Linked DNA regions of Arabidopsis thaliana. The protein of the gene in region 1 purifies or fractionates together with the protein of each later gene. This does not show direct contact. Each region holds a gene or a part of one and is shown in the gene's direction. Other genes may lie near its edges.

Region 1 (7,598 bases):
TTAGACATTCAAATCTCTTCTGGATTTGGAATCTGATTGGATTTTCTTACTTTCTTGCAATATGAAGAGTGCGGAAAATGCTTAAAGATGAGGATGAAATCGGGTTTGACCGTGAGAAACTTGTCAAGGTTCTTGAAGAGCTTCAAGCACAAGCCGAAGTAGCTCTCTGTTTTGTAGGTATCAAGCAATAAACTTAAACAGAAAGCCAAATTTTTTCCCTTGTATACCATATGAGCAACAAGAAACTCACAATTCAGTATTGTATTTTTTGGTAATATTGGTTTGTAGCATCTATTAATGGCGATTTTCATATAGTAAAAAGAGTTGACATTTCAAGTTTGTTTACAGTAATAAAAAGGTAAAAAAAACGGCCAATTCCAGCATGAATTTACAGAAAATAAATCCAAAACAAATATAAAATTTAAATTCGGAAAAACCTTAACCGGTCGGTTATCATAAACCAAGGAAAAAAAAAAACAATACCACCGCACGTGTAAAACACTCGGAGTCTCTCTCCTTTAGCGCCAAATTCCGCTCGTATCCTCTAAAAACCTAGATCGATCTTAATCAAACGATCTAAACCGTCGATTAACCCCTTTTCATCTCAACCGTTAGATTTTGTTGATCAAACTCTCATCAAAATTCAATTTTTTGATTTTTCAAAAAGATCTCAAAGAGACGACGACGAAGCAAAAGAAGAAGAAGAAGAAGAGAGAGCTATTCAAGCTTAAAGCATAAAACAATCTCTGCTCCTTATATAGTTCTTCACTATGGAAGATTTGAGTAATCAGAATCTCCTCCCGCGTCAATCAGATATCTCCATCCCTGCGGAGAAGATGGATTCGTTTCAAAAGTCGCTAGAACCTCCGCCGTGTTCTCCGGTGAAATCTTCTCAACAATCAGAAACGGAAGTCACACCGCCTCAGAAACCACCGCTTCACCAATTTGGTCACAACCAAGTTCAGAAGAATCGAGTGAGGTAAAAATTGGTTAATTTCTCTGTTCCATCAAATCTATTTCAATCTTAAGGAATTAGCATTTTTGATTGTTTGATTATGTAGCAATCAAGATCCATCGACCTCACGAAGACATAATGAAGTTGAATCGAAAGAGAATACTCCAAATAAACAACAAAAACATTGCAATTGCAAAAACTCAAAGTGTTTGAAACTGTAAGTATCTATTTTTGTTAATAGAGTTTAAAAACATATTTTTGTTTATACAGAGTCTTGTTGATCTATATAGGTATTGTGAATGCTTTGCTTCTGGATCTTATTGTAATGGTTGTAACTGTGTGAATTGTCACAACAAATTGGAGAATGAGTCTTCGAGACAAGTAGCTATCTCGGGGATCTTAGAGCGTAACCCTGATGCGTTTAAGCCCAAGATTGCTGGTAGTCCTCATGGAATGAAAGATTTGCAGGTTTGTGATCTTGTTACTTGAAAAAAAAAAGATGTAACTTTAGGGCTTGATGGTAGTTTTATAACTTGTAGGAGAATGTGCAGCAAGTGTTGCTTATTGGAAAGCACAGCAAAGGATGCCACTGCAGGAAATCAGGATGTCTCAAGAAGTACTGTGAGTGTTACCAGGCGAATATTCTATGTTCGGAGAATTGTAGATGTCAAGACTGCAAGAACTTTGAAGGAAGCGAAGAAAGAAAAGCTCTTCTTCATGGATCTCAGGTCTCGGATACCTACATACAACAGATGACCAATGCGGCTGTTAACCGTGCCATCGACATGTCTGCTTATCTGTACCCTCCTGAATCAAGAAAGAGAAAGAGCAAGGACATTTCAGATTCTGTAGTTTCATCATACGGTGTCCAATACCAGAGGGTAAATAGTACAATTCTGTGTTGATCTCATGGTCTTTAGCTTCAGTTTTTGCATTGAAAGCATAATTCTTTGTGTTTTTCTATTTCCAATTAGGCAAACCACGTTAGAAGAAATGGTGAAAATTCTCTATTTTCACTCCCTAACAACAAGGCCGTGTCCGGATCTACCACAAGTGCTTACAGGTTGGAAATATCAAACTCATCTTCTCTATGATATTGCCTATTTGAAACTACCGTGATACCTGACTAATGGCTTCTATAGGTCTTCTTGGTCAAATACATTCCAACCACATCATGTCAGAGAGCTATGTTCACTTTTGGTCTCAAACTCGGTTGATGTAGCAAATAAATTGTCAGGTACATATCATGCCGTTAGATGTACAAGATGATAGGTTAACGTTCCTCATATAATAAGGTCTTTGATAAGAGAATGTTTGTTATGGTGAAACAGACAAAGGGAGGAAGAACGACAAAGGCCCTTCTTCACTTGATGGAGCCCAAAGAGTTGCTAATGAGATCAATGACTCACCAGATTGTGTCCTTGATGCTAATAGAATGGACGAGAAGCCTATATCTCCCGCAACACGTGCATTGATGTGTGACGAAGAACATGAGATCGGGTCAGAGAAAGAGACATCGGCCCGAGTGAAAACAAGCCAAGAGAAAGAAGACACAGACACAAGCTCGGGGATTTACTTAGAGCAAGAAAGACAGATATTGTCAATCTTCAGGGACTATCTCATTCAGCTCTCAAACCGTGCGAGGATAAATGGTAACCTTGATATCGTATCCTTGTTCAGATATTTACAAGTAGAGGATTGTGCTAATTTAAGACATTATTTTAAGCAGGTAAAAATATCAAAAGCAACACAAATCCAAGTTGAAAGAAACCAGAAGATGAAGAACAAAGCCATCGAGACTCAAATTAGGGACATTGCTTAGGGAATTTTTTTGATTTTTTTTTTAGGATCATACTCATTTTTAACATATGATCCATGTCACATTTTAAAAAAATAATTAGGAAGATTAGACATAATTAAAATTTAAAAATGGTTTGAAGTTTATGAGTGAAAATTGTCACTACTATATCGCAAAACAGAGAATCGAAGATAATGGGCTTTGCATCGTTGTTTAGTTGATAATGGGCTTTGGAATAATAAAGGTCCAATCAAATTACATGACCCGACCCGACCCGTCCGAGAAAAATATTCTGTCTTCTTCATCAATCAACGGTTTAAGACTTAACACTGCAAACAAAACTCAAAACCCTAGGCACACACTCTCTCTCTCTCTCTATCCTCAAAGCTTCTTCTTCCTCGATATCGATTGAGAGAAACTTCGTTCTAAGATTCGAAATCATGGCGGCGGTTGTTGATATTGATGTCCTAACAGCTCAGTTAGGGATTAATTGGTCAGATGTTAATCTCGATTCAATCCAACTTCCTCCTGGAAACGACTTTGGGATCGAAAGGTGAGATTTTTTCCATTACATCTCTGCTTCTATTAGAATCTTCGTTTCAAATCTGAGAAATCGCTTAGTATTTTGAACTGATTGCGTTGATTTGTTTCTGTGGTGATTGGGTAGTGATGATGAAAGTGTTTACCAAGATGACCAGTCAGAATTCGACACTGGATTCGGTAACATTATCGTTGTCGATCACCTCCCTGTTGTTCCCAAGGAGAAGTTTGAGAAACTAGAAGGTGTTGTTAAGAAAATTTACAACCAGTTAGGTGTGATTAAGGAAAATGGACTGTTGATGCCCGTTGATCCCGATACTAAGATGACATTGGGCTACTGTTTTATTGAGTTCAACACTCCTCAGGTTGTTTATCTACTCGCAGCTTAAAGCTTAATCTCTCTGTTTAGTTAGTTTTGCTTAAGCAATTGTGTAGGCACAGAACTAGATTGTTTTCAATGGTAAGTGTATTTTCTAAGAGTTTGTCTCAATGTCTGTGCTGTTTTTAGGAAGCACAAAACGCTAAGGAAAAGTCTCATGGCTACAAGTTGGACAAGTCTCACATATTTGCTGTTAATATGTTCGATGATTTCGATAGGTTGATGAATGTGAAGGAGGAGTGGGAGCCTCCTCAAGAAAGGCCCTATGTCCCTGGGGTAAGTTTAGTTTTCTTCATATTACTCTTTCAGCGACACCATTATATGTTTTTGAATAAGTTCCACTGCGCCTGTGTACTTCTTGATATTGGTTGTTCTCTGAATGATTTCAGTGATTTATGTGTTTACCAGCTGAATTAGTGTTAGGATCTGTTTACGTATTTGATGTATAGTAACCAATAAATAATAATTTCATCAGTCTTGTTAAATGTTTATTCTTTTTTATTCAATGCAGCCTTTTGAGGTGCTTGGTCTTGATACTTATATGGTGTTTGTTTTTCAGGAAAATTTGCAGAAGTGGCTTACTGATGACAAAGCCCGGGACCAGCTAGTCATTCGTTTTGGCCATGATACTGAAGTTTACTGGAATGATGCTAGGCAGAAGAAGCCTGAACCTGTTCATAAGCGTTCTGTAAGTTACATCTGTGTCAGTTTAGAGCAATGTTATATGTTTATGTTACCATCATCTGAATTAATGATGTTGTCTTCCTATGCAGTATTGGACAGAGAGTTATGTGCAGTGGTCTCCAATAGGTACATACCTTGTGACACTTCACAAGCAGGGGGCAGCTGTTTGGGGTGGTGCTGATACATTTACGCGTCTCATGCGTTATCAGCATTCAATGGTTTGAAATTCCTTTCAATTGCTACATAGTACTTCCGTTTTTCCTGTGTTGGTCTGAAAATTGACTTCTTTTGTTGATTCCGTTTTAGGTCAAACTAGTTGATTTCTCGCCTGGTGAGAAATATCTTGTAACTTACCATAGCCAAGAACCAAGCAATCCGAGAGATGCAAGTGTGAGTTCATCTTTGCCTCTGTTCTTTCCAACTTTTATTCGTATAACATTTCTATGCAAAGAATTCTGATATTTGTCAAAATTTCAGAAAGTAGAGATTAAGGTCTTTGATGTGAGAACCGGGAGGATGATGAGAGATTTCAAGGGTAGTGCTGATGAGTTTTCAATTGGAGGACCTGGTGGTGTTGCTGGTGCCTCTTGGCCTGTTTTCAGGTAATTTCTTCAACCGCATGTCAATGTACTAAAAATAATAGTCAATTTCTCTCCTCTATTCCACTATTATGCAAATTTGTTGATATCTTGCCAACTTTTTTCAGATGGGCTGGCGGAAAAGATGATAAATACTTTGCCAAGCTGAGCAAAAACACTATCTCTGTCTATGAGACTGAGACTTTCAGCCTAATAGACAAGAAATCCATGAAGGTTGATAATGTTGTGGATATTTGCTGGTCTCCCACTGATTCAATCCTTTCATTGTTTGTTCCTGAACAAGGTGGTGGAAACCAACCAGCCAAGGTATGTTTCTTTTATTTCTTATGTAAATGAAAAGCCCTGATACCTCAATAATCTTCCGTTTCTCTGCCAGTTGTTTTGTATTTACATGTTGATATCCCATTCTTCAGGTTGCTCTAGTCCAAATCCCGAGTAAGGTAGAGCTGAGGCAGAAGAATCTCTTCAGTGTGAGCGACTGCAAGATGTACTGGCAGAGTAGTGGAGAGTATCTTGCTGTTAAGGTTGATCGATACACAAAAACTAAGAAGAGTACATACTCTGGATTTGAGCTTTTCCGTATCAAAGAAAGGGATATTCCAATCGAGGTTCTTGAGCTGGATAACAAGAACGATAAGATCATTGCTTTCGCGTGGGAGCCCAAGGGTCACAGGTTTGCTGTGATTCATGGTGACCAGCCAAGACCGGATGTTAGTTTCTACTCGATGAAGACTGCACAAAACACTGGAAGAGTTTCAAAGCTCGCAACTTTGAAGGCCAAACAAGCCAATGCCCTCTTCTGGTCGCCCACAGGCAAGTACATCATTCTTGCTGGGTTAAAAGGTTTCAATGGCCAGCTTGAATTTTTCAACGTGGATGAGCTCGAGACAATGGCCACAGCTGAACACTTCATGGCCACAGATATCGAATGGGACCCAACTGGAAGGTACTAATGTCTTAAAACCAAACCAGTCCATTGGTTGGTTTCTCTTTGTTTCACCAATTGCTGATGTTGTTTGCACTTTTTTTTTATTTTCAAAGGTACGTTGCAACCTCAGTGACAACAGTCCACGAGATGGAGAATGGGTTCACCATATGGTCTTTCAATGGGAATATGGTTTACCGGATACTGAAGGATCATTTCTTCCAGGTATGTAACAATAAAAAACTCGGTCTCAAACTAGCATCATCCATTTTCAGATGTCTAATAAAATATTTGTGTATGGTTGGTTACACAGTTGGCTTGGCGTCCAAGACCGGCATCATTCTTGACTGCGGAGAAGGAAGAAGAGATAGCAAAGAACCTGAGGAATTACAGCAAGAGGTATGAGGCAGAGGATCAGGACGTGTCGTTGCTATTGAGTGAACAAGACAGAGAGAAGAGGAGGGCATTGAATGAAGAGTGGCAGAAATGGGTGATGCAGTGGAAGTCTCTGCATGAAGAGGAGAAACTCGTGAGGCAAAATCTTCGGGATGGTGAAGTTAGTGATGTGGAAGAAGATGAGTATGAAGCCAAAGAAGTTGAGTTTGAGGATCTTATTGATGTTACTGAGGAAATTGTTCAAGAGTTGATGTAAGTTTCTCGGTCTCTTTTGTTACCCTCTCTTAGTCTTCGATCTCTTAGATATCGCGTTCTCCACACTTCGAAGAGAAATTTTGTTTCCTTTGGATATTGTTTTCATTATTTAAGTTTTCGTAATTACACTTGAAGGGTTAAGATTCTTAATACTAGACAAATCTTGCGATCAAAACTCATTCCACACACAAATCTTCCAATATAAAGAAATCCAAAGGAACTTTAAATACATGATGGAAATGAGAATTTATTAATCGTCATTTGGCTTTGAATAACATTTGGTTCACTGACTAATCTTATCAAACTCATGTGTAAGAGAACAGCGCGTTGTTGGATAGCAGTACCATTAAACGGTAGGATGTGTGTAAGTGATAATTATCCCACATCGCTAGACTAGAAACAATGACTGGGTACTACAGGAGTATAAATAGAGAAGTGGCTGGTTAGAGCAAATTACTTACCTGGACGGGGTCAACTCGTGATCAATAAGACGAGTGGCCTAGGCTAGTGACCGCATTGCACATAACGCTGGGGTGCTATGCTTAAGGTCTTCCCATGAGGAAGAGCCTGCGTCATTATTTGTGGCAGAGGGGGTTTGCGTTCGCGCAGCCCCTACCATCATTAGTCTTAATCTTCATATCTTCCTATAATAACAAACTAGTTGTCTTGTTGATCACTAATTGAAAATTTTGACAACCTTTTGATATTTGTCTTTGGGTATATAGAGTCCCACATCGGAAGTAAGTATCAAGATGATGGGTATTGTGTGACTATAAAGCAAAGAGGATTTGGTCCCTTGAAAAGTATCTTTGCGCTTGGGGCAATGACGCAGCTAATGAGGTCTTAACCGAGGCGCGTCTATTGCTGGTTGAAAACTATTTCCAAACCCCCTCCTAGGCCTAAGCTTGTCTAGGGCCTTCGAGAATTTCTGGAAGGGCTCCCTTCGGGGTAAAGCCCTACAATTCCCTAGTTCAATATTTGGCCTCATTAATCTTATTGGAATCAATAAAGAAAGTTCTGATAGTTAGTAGACCTTTCACCTATGTATATATTAAAGAAGCCAAAAA
Region 2 (6,601 bases), 5.9 Mb from region 1:
AAGAAACATATATATATATGATTAGATTTTATAAAGGGAAGTAACCATTTGCTCTAAAACCAAGAAAGAAAAACTGAACTTAAATTTACCGAAAATAGCTACAATTACAGTAATGTCTGCACAAAAAATTTACCTTGCCTCTCTGCTATTATTTATCTGTCTCGTTTTCCCTCAATCAACTGGTTATATTTTCTTCCTCTATTTCTTCATATCAAAACAAAAAATGTTAGAAAAATGAGATATTTCATACCTTTTTAAAAAAAAATATTTTTTTTCAGCAATTGTATGTAATTTCGAAGGCCATTGTGTAACTAGTGACGACTGCATCAACGTATGCAAAAGTGGGGAGGATCCATTCTTGTGCGTTCGTTCAGGCCCACATAAAGGCATGTGTTGTTGTTTGAAGACAAATGGTTCTGTACTAGAATGATATATTCATATTTGTATCATCACCTATCATAAGATTTAAAATTAATAATAATAAAAATTAATATCAATTTAAATTTTCTTATATAAGTTTGATATATTCGATGACCATCATATACAAAAGGTTGAAAATAAAGAAAATATCATTGATTCATTGTAATGCAATATAAGCTATTCTATATAGAATTCAAATAAATTTTGTTGATTTATTAAAAGTGTCTATGACATTGAGATTGAAAAGAGTATTCTAATAAGGGCTATATTAATATCTATGCTCAGATGATCAGAATATTAAGTATCTATGTATGAAAACTGAGTTATTAATCCTCTGTCTTCCCCAACATAATTTCTGACAAAAAAGCTCCTATAAAACCAAAATATAGTTTATAGCATAGTTTCAACATGCTAAAGATATCTTAGAAGATATCTCCCACTGGCATTAAAAACATAAAGATATTGTAAATCATTATTGATATGTATAGGGTTGTAGGTATGTCGAATATATACGATACTAGTTTCCGTTGGCTTTTAGAAATAATCCTCAAACAATAAACTGCGAGTTTAAATAGAACCTATGTGGTCTCGCTGACTATAAGCAACGTTCTGATAACAAATAGTATCGCGATAATCTCGTATCTGCTAAACATAATGATATTTCCGTTAACTTTATAAAGAAAGTCCACAATCAATAGACTACGAGTTTAAATGGTAACAATGTTAGTCGATATAACTACTAGCAGATAATTAAGATAATAACTACGATGCCACATGTTGTCCCTTTGTGTTTTACAACAAGAATCAAAGCTAGTAACACGTTCTAATAATAACAGAATCATGAAAACCTCTTATTCGCTAAACACGAGCATATTTGTTTGTAGCCTTTTAAAAATAATCCTCAAACAATAGCCTACGAGTTTAAATGGTAACAATGTTAGTCGATTTAACTTCTATCAGATAAGAAAAATAATAACGACGATGCCACAGGTTGTCTCCTTGTGTTTTACAAAAAGAATCAAAACTAATAAACACTTCCTGATAACAACCCGTATCGCGATAAGCTTCTAACCGCTAACATCAGTATCAGGATAATCTCGTTTTGGCCGCTAAAGACTATATCATTTTAGTTAACTTTTTAATTTCTTTTTACAAACAATAGACTACGAGTTTAAATGGTAATAATGTTAGTCGATATAACAACTAGCAGATAATTAAAATAATAACGACAATGCCACATGTTGTCTATTTGTGTTTTAGAACAAGAATCAAAACTAGGAACACGTTCTGATAACATTAGTATCGCGATAACGACGATGCCACATGTTGTCCATTTGTGTTTTACAACAAGAATCAAAACTAGGAACACGTTCTGATAACATTAGTATCGCGATAACCTTTCTTCTTCATATAGGATCGAAAAATATGACTGATCGTTAGGTGGGGAAGAAAAAAAAACATAAAAAAAAATACAACTCCCAAAACAATATCAACATAAAATCTTCTCCTACCGTGTGCAATAATATCTCGCTACAATCTATAATTGACTAAACTGATAATATAGGGGGTAAAAAAAATGTTATCGAGTGATATTTTCCTTCTAATAAAAACTAAGTTTTCAATTTTTTTTTTGTGGTTTAGCTTTTTAGGTTTTTTTGTTTTTGTTCAAGTCTTTGTATTATATCAAAATTGGAAGTCTTATGAAAATCGTTTTACTAATAATATTTATGAAATACATCTGATGATAGTTAAAAATTTATATCATTTTAAAATTATTTTTCTTAATTAATCTAAATTTTTAATTTCGTTAAAAATAAATTCTTATTATTTTTTTTTATTTTGGTCCAAAATGTTTATTAATCTTAGTTATGAATTATATTTAAACAATTGTTCTTTTATGTTTTTTTTTTAACAATTGTTCTTTTATTTATTTTGTTAAGAATATAACACTGACAAAACAAAAGAGAAAATAAAATACCTAAATATAGGTAATTTTAAAAAGTTTAAGCCAATTCAAATTAGGTGATCAAAAAAAGAAGAAGGGAAATAAGTATTTTTAAAAAATATAAATAATTCCACTTAAATGCGAATATTATAGAAAGAGAAGAGAAAAACCTAAAATCCATCTTCGTTGTCGTTTCGTCTGCTTCACATCGGAAAGCTACATCTTTTTCGTTTTTTGTGGTGGCGATTTCTATTCTCCGGCTGAAACCTACCTTCAGGATTCAGCCTTTCTCAGGTACTGTTTCTTCCGTCTCCATTCGCTTCAATTTCACTTGACTGTTGAATTCATCGAATTGAATCCGAGCTGGGCATGCCAATATTTATCAGTACTGATTTTGTGTAAGGTTAGATTTAGGATTTGTGGTGCTTGATGGGTTTTTATTGGTAATTGGGTTGTAGGTTCCTCCTTAAAAGTTGTGTAATTTGTCACTAATTGGGTTTAGATTACACTAATGATCAATCAAACTCTGTTTTGCTATATTCTTTTGTATGATTGATGATGTTTAAAAGCTGAATCCTTTCATGAATCAGGTCGCAAACTCGGTGTTCATAACCTAAGTTTTGGAACGAACAAACTTGTGTTTGCTGGCTTGCTTGAGAATTAACTTGTAATCAGGCTCTATGCTCTTATTTTAGTAGTTCTATTTGCATGTGAAGTACTAGTAGGATCAGAAAGTCTTTCTATAGTAGATTGTTTTATGTTCTTAAGCTGTGAAGCCTTGATCCTAAGAGTAATTGTATCATTGTCTTGGGCTGTTATGAATTCCTGGTATTTGCAAGTTTACTGTGAGTTGTTACACACGTTTTTGTTGCTTGGTCAGACCAGATGACTAACTACTTAAAATCATGAATATCACTATATTGAAAATATCATATTCGATTTTTCATAGGAGTTTTGTTGCATTTTACCTCCAGGATATATAACTAACTAATGTATGATTTACATTTAAGCATCACCAGTGAGAGCCTTTGTTCTGATCTTTGTTCTGATCTTTGTTCTTTCTGATGTTATGTGGCTGCTTGTGCCTTGTGCAGGTTTTCAGTTGGATTCAGATAGCAGCTTGTACTTCTTCTAGATAATCGGCGACACATATGGATGATTGGGGTAAGACTTACATTAAGAATTGTTCAATACACAATACTTTCTTGTTCTCTAGGTGTTGCATTAATCTCTTTGAATATGTAAAAAGTAGTACAGGCTGTATACAGCTATATATATTTTACTATGTTCTCTAAGATGATAGGCTTTATTGTTGTTTTATTGAAGTTTTCATATGGGAAATATATTAGAATTCTCACTTTTAGGTTTTCCTTTCTGATTTCAGAGGCCGAGGACTTTCAACCACTTCCCTCAAAAGTTGAACTGAAAAGTAACTGGGATGATGAGGATGTGGATGAGAATGATATCAAGGACTCGTGGGAGGAGGAAGATGTATCTGCTCCGGTATATTTTTCTTTCATTATATACTTTTAGTCATTGGGTTTTGTTTGTTATTTGTTTTTGAGATTGCGGCTAACAATCTTTGTTTCTCCTGTAGCCACCTATAGTAAAGCCTGCTTCTGAGAAGGCTCCAAAGAAACCAGCAGTAAAAGCTGTTGAAAAGAAGGTTAAAACTGTTGAAGCTCCGAAAGGAACATCAAGGGAAGAACCTCTAGATCCTATTGCTGAGAAACTTCGCATGCAGAGGTAGAGTGTAATAATAGTTCACTTACATATGCTTCTACTGTTGGTTCTGCATTGGTTTGGTTGAATGGGATGAAAAATGTTTTCTAGTAGTGTAAGAAGCATGTCACTGAGGAAGGCCATTGTGCTAATTTTTAATATTCTTCTTATCTTAGGCTTGTAGAGGAAGCTGATTACCAATCAACTGCTGAACTCTTTGGAGTAAAGACTGAAGAGAAAAGCGTCGATATGTTAATTCCGAAGTCTGAAAGCGATTTCTTGGATTATGCTGAGTTGATATCTCAGAGACTTGTACCATTTGAGGTATGCTATTTTCATTTCCTGTTACTTTCTTGTCTTAGCTAACTGTCACTTATTTCTATATGACCAAATATCATATTAAGACCAATTCGTCTGCATTTTAACTATGTCTACTATTTCGCAGAAAAGCTTTCACTATATCGGGCTACTCAAAGCAGTGATGAGACTTTCTGTGGCTAATATGAAAGCAGCAGATGTTAAAGACGTTGCTTCGTCCATTACAGCTATAGCAAATGAAAAATTGAAGGCGGAGAAAGAAGCTGCTGCTGGCAAAAAGAAGTCAGGTACACACAATCAGTCTTTGAATTTTGTTTTATTCTTTGGATTTGATAAGACTTGTGAATTATATGTTTTTAAGCTAAGCAAGCATGTCTCTGTTTCCAAAATGATCAGATTAAAATGTTTTTTTCTTTCTTTCTTTCGTTTCACTGTGTTTACTAGGTAAGAAGAAACAACTTCATGTTGATAAGCCTGATGATGATCTTGTTTCGGGTCCTTATGATGCCATGGACGATGATGATTTCATGTGAGAAAATGGCAATTTTGGAGATTGCATTTTACCTCCTATAGGATTGTAACTGAGAAGAGGTTTAAATCGTCGGCGGTTTTTTGTTTTGTATACTGAATTGCAAAAGTGTTTTTCTTCTGTTTTCTTTGCTCGGTTTGATTTAAAAATTTGTGTAATAAGATTTGTTGTGGGCACACTATTTCCTATTATATGAATTGAACGAGTACTAAGAGCACGGCCTATGATTCACTTAGAATTTGAAGCCACATTAGTAAGATAAGTTTTCGATAATGAACCAGCAAATCTAACACATTACAAGAGATATACACTCGAAGAAGACCTAAACATGTAGTGTGAAGAGTAATCAATACGTAGAGAATCAAATGAACTGGAGAATCTTCGGGGAGTAGCTTGATCAAGTCTTTGGCGTAAAGTGATGCATGTGTCATGGGAGAGAATTGATGAATCTAGTGATGCCCTAAATTGGTTCTCAGTTGTAACAAACTATCGATACAGATAAGAAATAGAGAGATTCATAGTTATTGTTTGAAAATTTAGAAAAGTTAGAAAAGTTAGAAAAGTTTTTGTTTGAAAAATAACCTACCCATTTTTTCTCTTTAAAAACTATTTTCTAAAATAAGAAAGGAATATAAAATTACAAATATATCCTTACTAAAATTTACTAATAATTTTAAAACATTTATATTTAAAACAAAATCAGCTTTTTATTATATTTTTTGTCGATCAAAATAATATATTTTAATTTAAAAATATTTGATGTAACTATTTTTTTCGTCAACTATTTAATATTAACTACCTAACAATTTTACATATAATTTATCTTGAATATCTTTTTAATGAAAAATATTGTTACAAGACAAACAAAAACAATATTTTTTAAAAGAGAAAAGTTAGTCGTATATATACGTATAAATTACACCATGCATATATATGTTACACCATGCAGAATTTCATTATCATGTTTTGATTATTGAAATTACAAATATTTACAAACAAAGCTAAAGTAGTTTACATTACAGTTAGAGAAAACTTGGGTAATAATGTAGAGTTAAAAAATTATGTGTTTGGAGTTAGATTGATTTCTTTATATACTGTGAGAAATATGAAGTGATAAACTTTAGAATATTTTTTTGATAATATCATGCTAGATTTTAATATTTAAAATATATAATCTGCTTTATCTTAAAATAGTTAAAAATAATAATTAAGATTTTAAATTAACTTTATTCTTTTTTTTTAAAAACAAATTCGTATTTAATTTTAGTTTATCAAAAAGATTTCTTTTATTTCAAATCTGGACAAAAATTGTCATTTAACATATTTAAAATTATATTTTTAATTGAAAATAGGGTAGAATGTATTTTTCAAACAAAAACTCAAAAATAGGGCAATTTTCAAAATCACCATTCATAGTTTGTATTGTTATCAAATGGTGCGGTGAGCGTGGATCGAACACGCGACCTTCAGATCCACGCTCACCGCACTATTAGAGTCCTCTTGCCGAATATATTTTATTGTATCCATTACAGTTTTGGCCGTTGCTACGACATAAAATTTCAACTGTTTCAACATTGTTATAGTGATGTGGCAATCTATATCTTATGTGATTAGATCATTGTTGACTTTTAATGCTCACGAATCCAATCTATCGTTGCTATGCTAAT
Region 3 (9,005 bases), on another chromosome or scaffold:
TGTTACTAAAAGCTTCTATTTGATTGCTTATGTGTTAATTTGCAGACTGATAATTTTCAAGAAACTTGTGTTATCTGTCTGGAAACTCCGAAGATTGGAGACACCATACGTCATCTTCCTTGTTTGCACAAATTCCACAAGGATGTAAGGATCTTTACTGATTCAAATGAAAACCCCTTATTAAGAACAGAGATTCGAAAAGTAACCATTGTTTATTTATTGTGCAGTGCATTGATCCATGGCTAGGACGGAGTAAATCATGTCCGGTTTGCAAATCCTCAGTTACTTGACAAGGTTTTCAAATTCATCGGAGAATTTGAAAACTACCATTTTACCCTTCCAAACCGGTCGATCTCTGGAATCATTTTGCGGGTAAGTCAAACATTCTTGGCCATCAAATTTGAACTCATTAAACGGGGTTTTACTACCGTTTACGCGCGAGGGATGATTATCTGTGTATCTCTGTGATTATTTTCTCGGGTTTAAATATATCTAGCTAAGAACTTTTTGTAGATTAAGAAAGTTGATACTACCACTTATTCACTTTAGTTTAAACATATACCTTTTAAAATCAATTTAAATGCACAAGGCTTTGTTTAATCGTTTTATTCACTTTACTTGCACGAAGAAGCAAGATACAATCATATTCAAAGAGTAAAACAAACTAAAGAGAAACGACATACATTTCAGTTATTGTTACATATATAACGAATTAGTTTTCTTAAATGACATGCATTGGATTTTAGCTCCTCATCAATGCACATTACGGTTAAACAAATTCTCAGTGACCTCCGCCGCCAATTCCTCCACCAATTTCTTTACCGGCTCCTCCGCCGATTCCTCCAATGGCTCCACCGTCAACTCCTTTACCTGCTCCACCGTCAAATCCTTTTCCGACTCCTCCCTCAATTCCTTTTCCGATTCCTCCCTCAAATCCTTTGCCGACTCCTCCATCAAATCCTTTTCCGGCTCCACCGTCAACTCCTTTGCCAACTCCTCCATCAAATCCTTTCCCGGCTCCACCGTCAACTCCTTTACCGGCTCCACCGTCAACTCCTTTTCCGAAGCCACCGTCAACTCCTTTACCGGCTCCACCTCCGAATCCTCCTCCACCAAATCCACCGCCTATTCCTCCACCAAAGCCTCCAACACTGCCTCCAATCCAACCGCCACCTGCTCCAAAGCCGCCTCCACCGCTGATACCACCACCACCACCTAAGTCGCCGAATTCTTTTTTAAAGCCCTTCTTGTGGAGGAGAGGATGAGGGTGAGGGTGAGGAAACAAGGGCTTCTCATCACCAAACTCTGCTTCTCCCATAGTAAAATCTGTGACCAAAGCAAACACCAAAACAAACACACGCACTTTACCGGCGATTAGACCCATTGTTAGTGGAAACTTAAAATGTTTGTAGTTAAAATATTAGAAGCTATTGGAAGAGGATGTTTTGATACGAAATTGCTTCTTGCATGAGCAGTATATATATAGACTTAGAGAGAGATCGTGATAGCATAAGCACTTTTCGTCAATGTGCATGGATTCAACCTGTACAACAACTAGGATATAATTGCTGTTGAGTAAAAACAGTTAAAGATGTTTCACCGGTCACTGGACAAGTTTTATGTTTCATTGTCTGCCCAACTGCCATATTGATCTCATCCAACACAAAGAGAAAAATATGATGCAAATATAGTTGAAAAATTGAAGAACATATGACACCAATTATTATATACAGTTCCTTGAATTATATTAATCATACATTCATATCAATTATATTAAAATTTAATTTGAAGGTTGTCCAGGTTTCAGAGGGCAATAACTAAAAATGAAAATGTTTCTGCATGTCTATTCATAATTTCATATTAAGTGAAAACTCGTATGGTCTAAGAGAAAATATTTACTAGAAAATAATTCTGACTTGATAAAAGATGTAGTCGCTTTATAGGTTGGAGGACAGGCCATGTCAATCTATGGAATATTGAACTATCTATATAAACCCTAAAATGTGATTTCATTTATTTGTGAGCTTTAGCTTTTTAGGTGTCATCAATCAATGATGTAAACTAGAAACTCATATGCTATACTTCCAAACAAACCAATAAAGTTTTTATTATGGGCCGCTAGATTGGTCCATTAACACTATAAGATATATAGTCTGGCCCATCATTAGACCCAATTTTGTATTCCGACTTTATGATTTTGTTTGGATCCATCATATATATTTGGGGTGAAAGTGTAATCTTATTAAACATTTAGGGGTATTGGTAAAAATTACTTGACTTGTTGGGTAAGTATCTTAATATTCGATAAGTCTAGAATTTCGATTTTGATTAGACTTGTGAAAAAGTGAACTCAGAAATTGTGCTCGCCCAAAGTAGTTCGGTTCTTGTGTTCCTCCGTCTGATCAACTCTTCTTCTCCACCTCTAGGTTTCTAATTTTCCGATTAGGATAATGGCCGCCGCCATGGTTAGTTCCGCCGGTGGGTTACTGGCAATGCTCAACGAACCCCATCCTTCCTTGAAACTTCACGCTCTCTCATATCTCATCAGATTGGTTGACCAATTTTGGCCCGAGATCTCCACTAGTGTCCCAATCATGTATTCAATTCTCTCTTCTCTTTTTTTTAATTGTTTCCCTTCGTGAGGCTATTCTGTTTGCTTACTGGGAGTAAAGCTTATGGGATTTGGATGAGTTTTAGCACTCTTGATATTTCTTAGTTAGGGTATTACATTCCAAGTTTTTCCACTCTTGTGTCGAGTTAGATTTGAATGCGTTAATTCACAAGTGACAAACTTTATTGAATTGCTTTACTTAATTCTGTTGATTCTGAATAGAACCATTGTTATCTGGGCTAAGGACGCTCCCTTACCGTCATGATGCGGAAAATTTGTTCTTTTGAAAGTTGTAGAGACTCTACTTTTGCTTGAGATCTTAAACTGTTTTTGTGCTATTCTGAGACCTTTTTTTGATTTTTTTGTAGAGAGAGCTTATACGAAGATGAAGAGTTTGATCAGCATCAAAGACAGCTTGCTGCCTTGTTGGCCTCCAAGGTACAGTTTATCTTTTTATTTAACTTACATGATGACTGGTTTTATATAAATTGTTAGTGGAGATACGAGTGCCAGTTAAACGGATACCTTAAAAGCTGGTAGATTGCTACAGAAGTTCAGAGCTTGAATTTCCTGTAATCAAGTTATGTTATTGTATTATAAGACTTGTTTTCTAACGTTTATGTTAATCTTGTTTTATCTCAGGTTTTCTATTACTTGGGTGAGCTTAACGATTCCTTGTCCTATGCCCTTGGAGCTGGATCCTTGTTTGATGTGTCAGAGGATTCTGATTATATTCATACTCTTCTATGTAAGGATTTTGAAGTTTGCTACTTTCTTCTCTTCTACTTTTTTTATCCAATTCTGTGACAGTAGACACTAGCTCGGTTATCATTCTTAATAGGCGTAAATTCAAAATCATTCCAACCTGATTAAATGGAAGATTAAGAAAATAGTTTATACGATATATTTTCTAACTAATAAGACTTGAACGTCCATCTTTCTTTTAATAAGATTGTGCTGCTAGAAAGTTACGCAAAGACATGATAAGATAGTGATCTTACAGTTACTAACTGTTTAATGTTGAATGTTTTACTCATGGATGCTTCTGTTTTCCTTATCAGCCAAAGCAATAGATGAGTATGCTATTCTCAGATCAAAGGCAGTCGAGTCAAGTGAGGTGGTGGAAATTGACCCGAGATTGGTGGCCATTGTTGAACGAATGCTAGACAAGTATGGGATGCAGAATTTATTTATTTATGTCTGTCTACAAGTTTTTCGTTTTTCCTTACATGGTTTTCTGTTTTATAGATGTATCACTGACGGAAAGTATCAACAAGCCATGGGCATTGCTATAGAATGCCGGAGATTGGATAAGTTGGAGGAAGCGATCATAAAGAGTGAGAATGTGCAGGGAACATTATCTTACTGCATCAATGTTTCCCACTCTTTTGTTAATCAAAGAGAATATAGACATGAGGTGAGTCTGGTGGCCACAAAACTGGATTTTAATAGATGTATTATGTTAATGATACTATGAGCTCATCTTCTTTATTCTTTTCTTACAAATATAATGGTTATAATTCATTGCATTCTTTATGTCAACTCAAAACATTTTTGTAGGGGCTGTTAATTTGTAAATGATAACATCCTTACTTCGTTCTTGCAGGTTCTTCGGTTACTTGTTAATGTTTACCAGAAGCTGGCTTCTCCTGATTATTTGAGCATTTGCCAATGCCTTATGTTCTTGGATGAACCACAAGGCGTTGCAAGCATATTGGAGAAGCTTCTTCGTTCAGAGAACAAAGATGATGCTTTATTGGCTTTCCAAATCTCTTTCGATCTTGTACAGAATGAGCACCAGGCATTCCTCATGAGTGTTAGAGATCGCCTTCCAGCGCCCAAGACCCGTCCTGTAGAAGCAATTCAAGCTGTTGAAACCTCTACTGCTCAGAATGAGAACACTGCAGGGGATGTTCAGATGGCGGATGAAACTCCATCTCAGACAATTGTGCATGAAACAGATCCTGTTGACGCTGTGTACGCTGAGAGGTTAACAAAGGCTAAGGGGATTTTATCTGGAGAGACATCAATACAACTGACACTCCAGTTTCTTTACAGCCATAACAAGTGAGGCAGTTTATTTACCTTTTTTGATATCTCGAAGGATATTTCATTCTTAAGTCGTTTCTTCCACATAGTAAAATTTACAGCAATGGCCATTGTTTCTTTGTAGATCGGACCTGCTGATCCTGAAGACAATCAAACAATCTGTTGAGATGCGGAACAGTGTATGTCACAGTGCTACAATTTATGCTAATGCTATAATGCATGCTGGAACGACAGTTGACACTTTTCTCAGGGAGAATTTGGTAAAATTTATTTTCTCTACCACTTTTTAACTTGTTTCAACGTCAACTATGTGGCATATTATTTAATCTTCTTTTCTTTTCCATTCATGTTTGAATTGTCAGGATTGGCTAAGCAGGGCCACCAATTGGGCCAAGTTTAGTGCTACAGCAGGATTAGGTGTTATTCATAGGGGTCACTTGCAACAGGGCAGGTCACTGATGGCCCCATACTTGCCTCAGGGCGGAGCAGGTGGTGGCGGGAGTCCTTATTCCGAAGGGGGTGCTTTATATGCTCTCGGCCTTATTCATGCAAACCATGGTGAGGGAATCAAGCAATTTCTTCGTGATAGTCTACGCAGCACTAGTGTTGAGGTGATTTGCTATATCTTTCTTCTGGATAGTCTTCCGTTATATCACCAAAAAGATAGTCTTTTGTTTAGAATGATTTTCATTAAAAAAATATGGTTGCAGGTTATTCAACACGGAGCTTGTTTAGGTCTTGGTTTGGCTGCTCTTGGGACAGCTGATGAAGACATATATGATGATATCAAAAGTGTGCTTTACACTGACAGTGCTGTTGCTGGTGAAGCTGCCGGCATAAGCATGGGTCTATTGTTGGTTGGAACAGCAACTGATAAGGCAAGTGAGATGCTCGCTTATGCTCACGAGACTCAGCATGAGAAGATAATAAGGTAACTAAAGTCTGGAATATATTTTTGGCTATGTGTGTGGGTGCATGGTAATTTATTTCAATGTTTTAAGTAACCAACATCTGGTTTTGTGTTTAGGGGATTGGCTCTAGGAATAGCTCTCACAGTATATGGAAGAGAAGAGGGAGCAGATACTTTGATTGAGCAGATGACTAGAGATCAGGATCCTATCATCCGTTATGGTGGAATGTATGCACTCGCATTGGCTTACAGTGGAACTGCAAACAACAAAGCCATCCGCCAACTTCTTCACTTTGCTGTGTCTGATGTCAGTGACGATGTTAGGAGGACTGCTGTTCTTGCACTTGGATTTGTCTTATACTCTGATCCAGAGCAGGTAACTCCATATTCTTTTTGTCTCATTAACTTCTTGACACTATATTCCATTTCTTTAGTGCCTTTAGGGCTCTTGTGCTCGCTTACAGTCATTAACTGGTGGCTCAATATTTAAACTGTAGACTCCCCGTATTGTATCCCTTCTTTCCGAGTCGTACAATCCACATGTCCGCTATGGCGCAGCTCTTGCAGTTGGCATCTCTTGTGCAGGCACTGGTCTGAGTGAGGCGATATCTTTGTTGGAGCCACTTACATCAGATGTTGTAGACTTTGTTCGTCAAGGTGCTCTGATTGCCATGGCCATGGTGATGGTCCAAATTAGTGAAGCAAGCGATTCTCGCGTTGGAGCATTTAGGTTAGTGAAGTTCCGATCTCTTCATCAATTGGAGGGAGTGAGAATAGTTCTCTTTTGAAGACTAAAATTTGTCTGTGCTTTTGCAGGCGTCAACTTGAGAAGATAATACTTGACAAGCATGAAGATACAATGAGCAAGATGGGAGCAATTTTGGCTTCAGGTATTCTTGATGCTGGTGGAAGGAATGTGACGATAAGACTGCTGTCTAAGACAAAACATGACAAAGTCACTGCAGTCATTGGCCTTACTGTCTTCAGCCAGTTTTGGTATTGGTACCCATTGATTTACTTCATAAGCTTGGCGTTTTCACCCACCGCCTTCATCGGTTTGAACTACGATCTCAAAGTCCCAAAGTTTGAATTCATGTCACACGCAAAACCATCGTTGTTTGAGTATCCAAAACCAACTACGGTTGCTACTGCCAACACCGCTGCCAAATTACCAACTGCTGTGCTCTCAACCTCAGCCAAAGCCAAAGCTAAGGCTAAGAAAGAAGCAGAGCAGAAAGCTAAAGCTGAAAACTCTGGCAATGAAGCTGGAAAAGCCAATGCAGCGTCAGATGAGAAGGAAGCAGAGTCTATGCAGGTAAAATGCAAATCTAATTCCCAACATCTTCGTATCTGTTTGAGTTGAAAAATTGCTCTTAACATTTTTTACTTTGGGAAATGCTGTTCCTATGATTAATCTCAAGGTCATGATCAATTTATCATCAGTCTTTTGACTTTTGATCAAGTATATTTTCTCTATGTTACTATGCCAGGTTGATAGCACAGCTACAACGGTGGAGAAGAAGGTTGAGCCAGAAGCAACGTTTGAGATTCTAGTCAATCCTGCGCGTGTAGTCCCTTCACAGGAGAAATACATCAAATTGATGGAGGATAGCCGATATGTACCGATGAAGCTAGCTCCATCAGGGTTTGTCCTTCTCAGAGACTTGCGTCCGCATGAGCCTGAAGTTCTGTCTCTGACCGATGCACCGACTTCAACAGCATCCCCTGCAGTGGGTGCAGAAGCTGCAGGACAAGCCCAACAAGCAGCCACCACCTCTGCTATGGCCATAGATGACGAGCCACAACCTCCGCAGGCCTTTGAATACGCTTCTCCATGATTTTGTAATTTGATCAGTTGCCATTTTGTTTTCTGTTAATTAAACAGAGAAACAGTTCTCCTTTTTTGAACTTGGAGACTAGTACTTATTGCATTGGTTCCGACTTGTTCTTGTGTTAGTAGTTTCTTTAAATCTATATATTACTAAGAGCAGAAATGGTAAACAACTATCATTTTTCCCTAAGTAAAGATTAATGCTATATACCAAAAAAAAAGAAAAAAAGTAAAGGTTAATGCTTGTATGATTTTTCTAGGGGAAATTAGATAAAAATCATTGCAAAAATTTAACCACATTGTTCAGTCGGGGAAAAATAAAAATCTCAGGTTGTCGATTTTGGGTCAAAATAGTTTGTTTATGCTAGTAGGCCTTTTTTAATTTATGTGGGTCAATTATATTACGCTCCTTGTAGCCCAATGGGCAGAATAAAAGTGAGCCCATGAGTGAGGCGCGTGGTAGGCGAACTGTCAAATGAAAATATCTTACCCACTCGCATACTAAGCGCGTATAAGACTGGGAAAACTGCCGTTTTTCGCTAAAATTAATAAACTGGGCGCGTGTGGGCGTTTTTTTACTAATAAAAACGTAACTGGCCTTCTATCTGATTAACCTTGTCCGGCCTTCTTTAGTGAGCCCATTTTTGTTTTAGTTTTATGTTTATAGACCTTATAAAATATAAAGCCCATATACAGTTGTTCCAACCGCAGCAACAACTGTATCCAATTAAGGTTAGACTAATACACATTTTCTTATTCAACACGCTAATTTAATCAGATAGACTTTGATTAGATACTTTGATCAGAGAGTATCTTACTACATAAATTTATCTGCTATATCCTCACTGCCACATATTTCTCAAGAATCCCAAAGTATCATCATGCTTAGGTCAAAATGCAAAATATATAACATCTCATGAATTTTTTCCATGCCTTCAAATAACCCTTGTAGTTTTGATAGTAGTGATAAGATATTACCAGAAAGGCAGAAACGATTTAACACACAAAGGAAATAGATAATAGAGAGATAACATGGCTACGAAAAGATAGAGAAGTAGGTTTTAAAACACACACGATTAAAGACTCCCAAGAGTTTTGAGCCCATTCTCACAAGACGAGATTATAGAGAAACCCACACAAATCCAAAGTTTTTAGAAACATTCTTCTTAGTATTCCTCTCCTTCATCATCTTCATCGTCACCACCTTCAGCACCGACCTCTTCATAATCCTTCTCCAATGCTGCAAGATCCTCACGTGCCTCTGAGAATTCTCCTTCTTCCATACCCTCACCCACATACCAGTGAACGAAAGCACGTTTGGCGTACATAAGATCAAACTTGTGATCAATACGGGAGAACACCTCAGCAACACTGGTCGAGTTTGAGATCATGCAAACAGCTCTCTGGACTTTAGCAAGATCACCTCCTGGAACAACTGTTGGTGGCTGGTAGTTGATACCACACTTGAATCCAGTAGGACACCAGTCAACAAACTGAATAGTGCGCTTGGTCTTGATGGTGCCAACAGCTGCGTTTACATCCTTGGGGACAACATCACCACGGTACATCAAACAGCAAGCCATGTACTTTCCGTGACGTGGGTC

The links. Proteins that work in one complex are often made in the same cells at the same time.
Region 2: the proteins of EIF3B-2 (region 1) and AT5G37475 fractionate together in Arabidopsis thaliana (co-fractionation; one large-scale study listed by BioGRID). This does not show direct contact.
Region 3: the proteins of EIF3B-2 (region 1) and AT1G04810 fractionate together in Arabidopsis thaliana (co-fractionation; one large-scale study listed by BioGRID). This does not show direct contact.

What each region holds. Positions count from the first base shown.
Region 1 is NC_003076.8:8,972,354-8,979,951, reverse strand, and holds EIF3B-2 (eukaryotic translation initiation factor 3B-2), read left to right. Parts: upstream 1-3,038; 5' UTR 3,039-3,193; coding exon 3,194-3,306; intron 3,307-3,420; coding exon 3,421-3,658; intron 3,659-3,801; coding exon 3,802-3,948; intron 3,949-4,231; coding exon 4,232-4,360; intron 4,361-4,445; coding exon 4,446-4,574; intron 4,575-4,662; coding exon 4,663-4,746; intron 4,747-4,833; coding exon 4,834-4,958; intron 4,959-5,062; coding exon 5,063-5,261; intron 5,262-5,368; coding exon 5,369-5,901; intron 5,902-5,996; coding exon 5,997-6,105; intron 6,106-6,193; coding exon 6,194-6,532; 3' UTR 6,533-6,705; downstream 6,706-7,598. Other genes in the region: AT5G25800 (Polynucleotidyl transferase, ribonuclease H-like superfamily protein), read left to right, coding at 68-191; AT5G25790 (Tesmin/TSO1-like CXC domain-containing protein), read left to right, coding at 771-979, 1,062-1,172, 1,246-1,423, 1,495-1,836, 1,930-2,018, 2,098-2,192, 2,287-2,777.
Region 2 is NC_003076.8:14,864,665-14,871,265, reverse strand, and holds AT5G37475 (Translation initiation factor eIF3 subunit), read left to right. Parts: upstream 1-2,490; 5' UTR 2,491-2,659; exon of another isoform or gene 2,660-3,459; 5' UTR 3,460-3,516; coding exon 3,517-3,529; intron 3,530-3,749; coding exon 3,750-3,868; intron 3,869-3,962; coding exon 3,963-4,111; intron 4,112-4,263; coding exon 4,264-4,411; intron 4,412-4,532; coding exon 4,533-4,692; intron 4,693-4,849; coding exon 4,850-4,938; 3' UTR 4,939-5,209; downstream 5,210-6,601. Other genes in the region: AT5G37473 (Defensin-like (DEFL) family protein), read left to right, coding at 113-182, 279-430.
Region 3 is NC_003070.9:1,347,854-1,356,858, forward strand, and holds AT1G04810 (26S proteasome regulatory complex, non-ATPase subcomplex, Rpn2/Psmd1 subunit), read left to right. Parts: upstream 1-2,226; 5' UTR 2,227-2,450; coding exon 2,451-2,596; intron 2,597-2,979; coding exon 2,980-3,049; intron 3,050-3,253; coding exon 3,254-3,359; intron 3,360-3,672; coding exon 3,673-3,781; intron 3,782-3,859; coding exon 3,860-4,028; intron 4,029-4,217; coding exon 4,218-4,678; intron 4,679-4,784; coding exon 4,785-4,920; intron 4,921-5,022; coding exon 5,023-5,271; intron 5,272-5,370; coding exon 5,371-5,591; intron 5,592-5,687; coding exon 5,688-5,946; intron 5,947-6,067; coding exon 6,068-6,300; intron 6,301-6,386; coding exon 6,387-6,885; intron 6,886-7,060; coding exon 7,061-7,408; 3' UTR 7,409-7,613; downstream 7,614-9,005. Other genes in the region: AT1G04790 (RING/U-box superfamily protein), read left to right, coding at 46-144, 228-290; AT1G04800 (glycine-rich protein), read right to left, coding at 782-1,384; TUA4 (tubulin alpha-4 chain), read right to left, coding at 8,568-9,005. UniProt on the Arabidopsis thaliana protein: Acts as a regulatory subunit of the 26 proteasome which is involved in the ATP-dependent degradation of ubiquitinated proteins.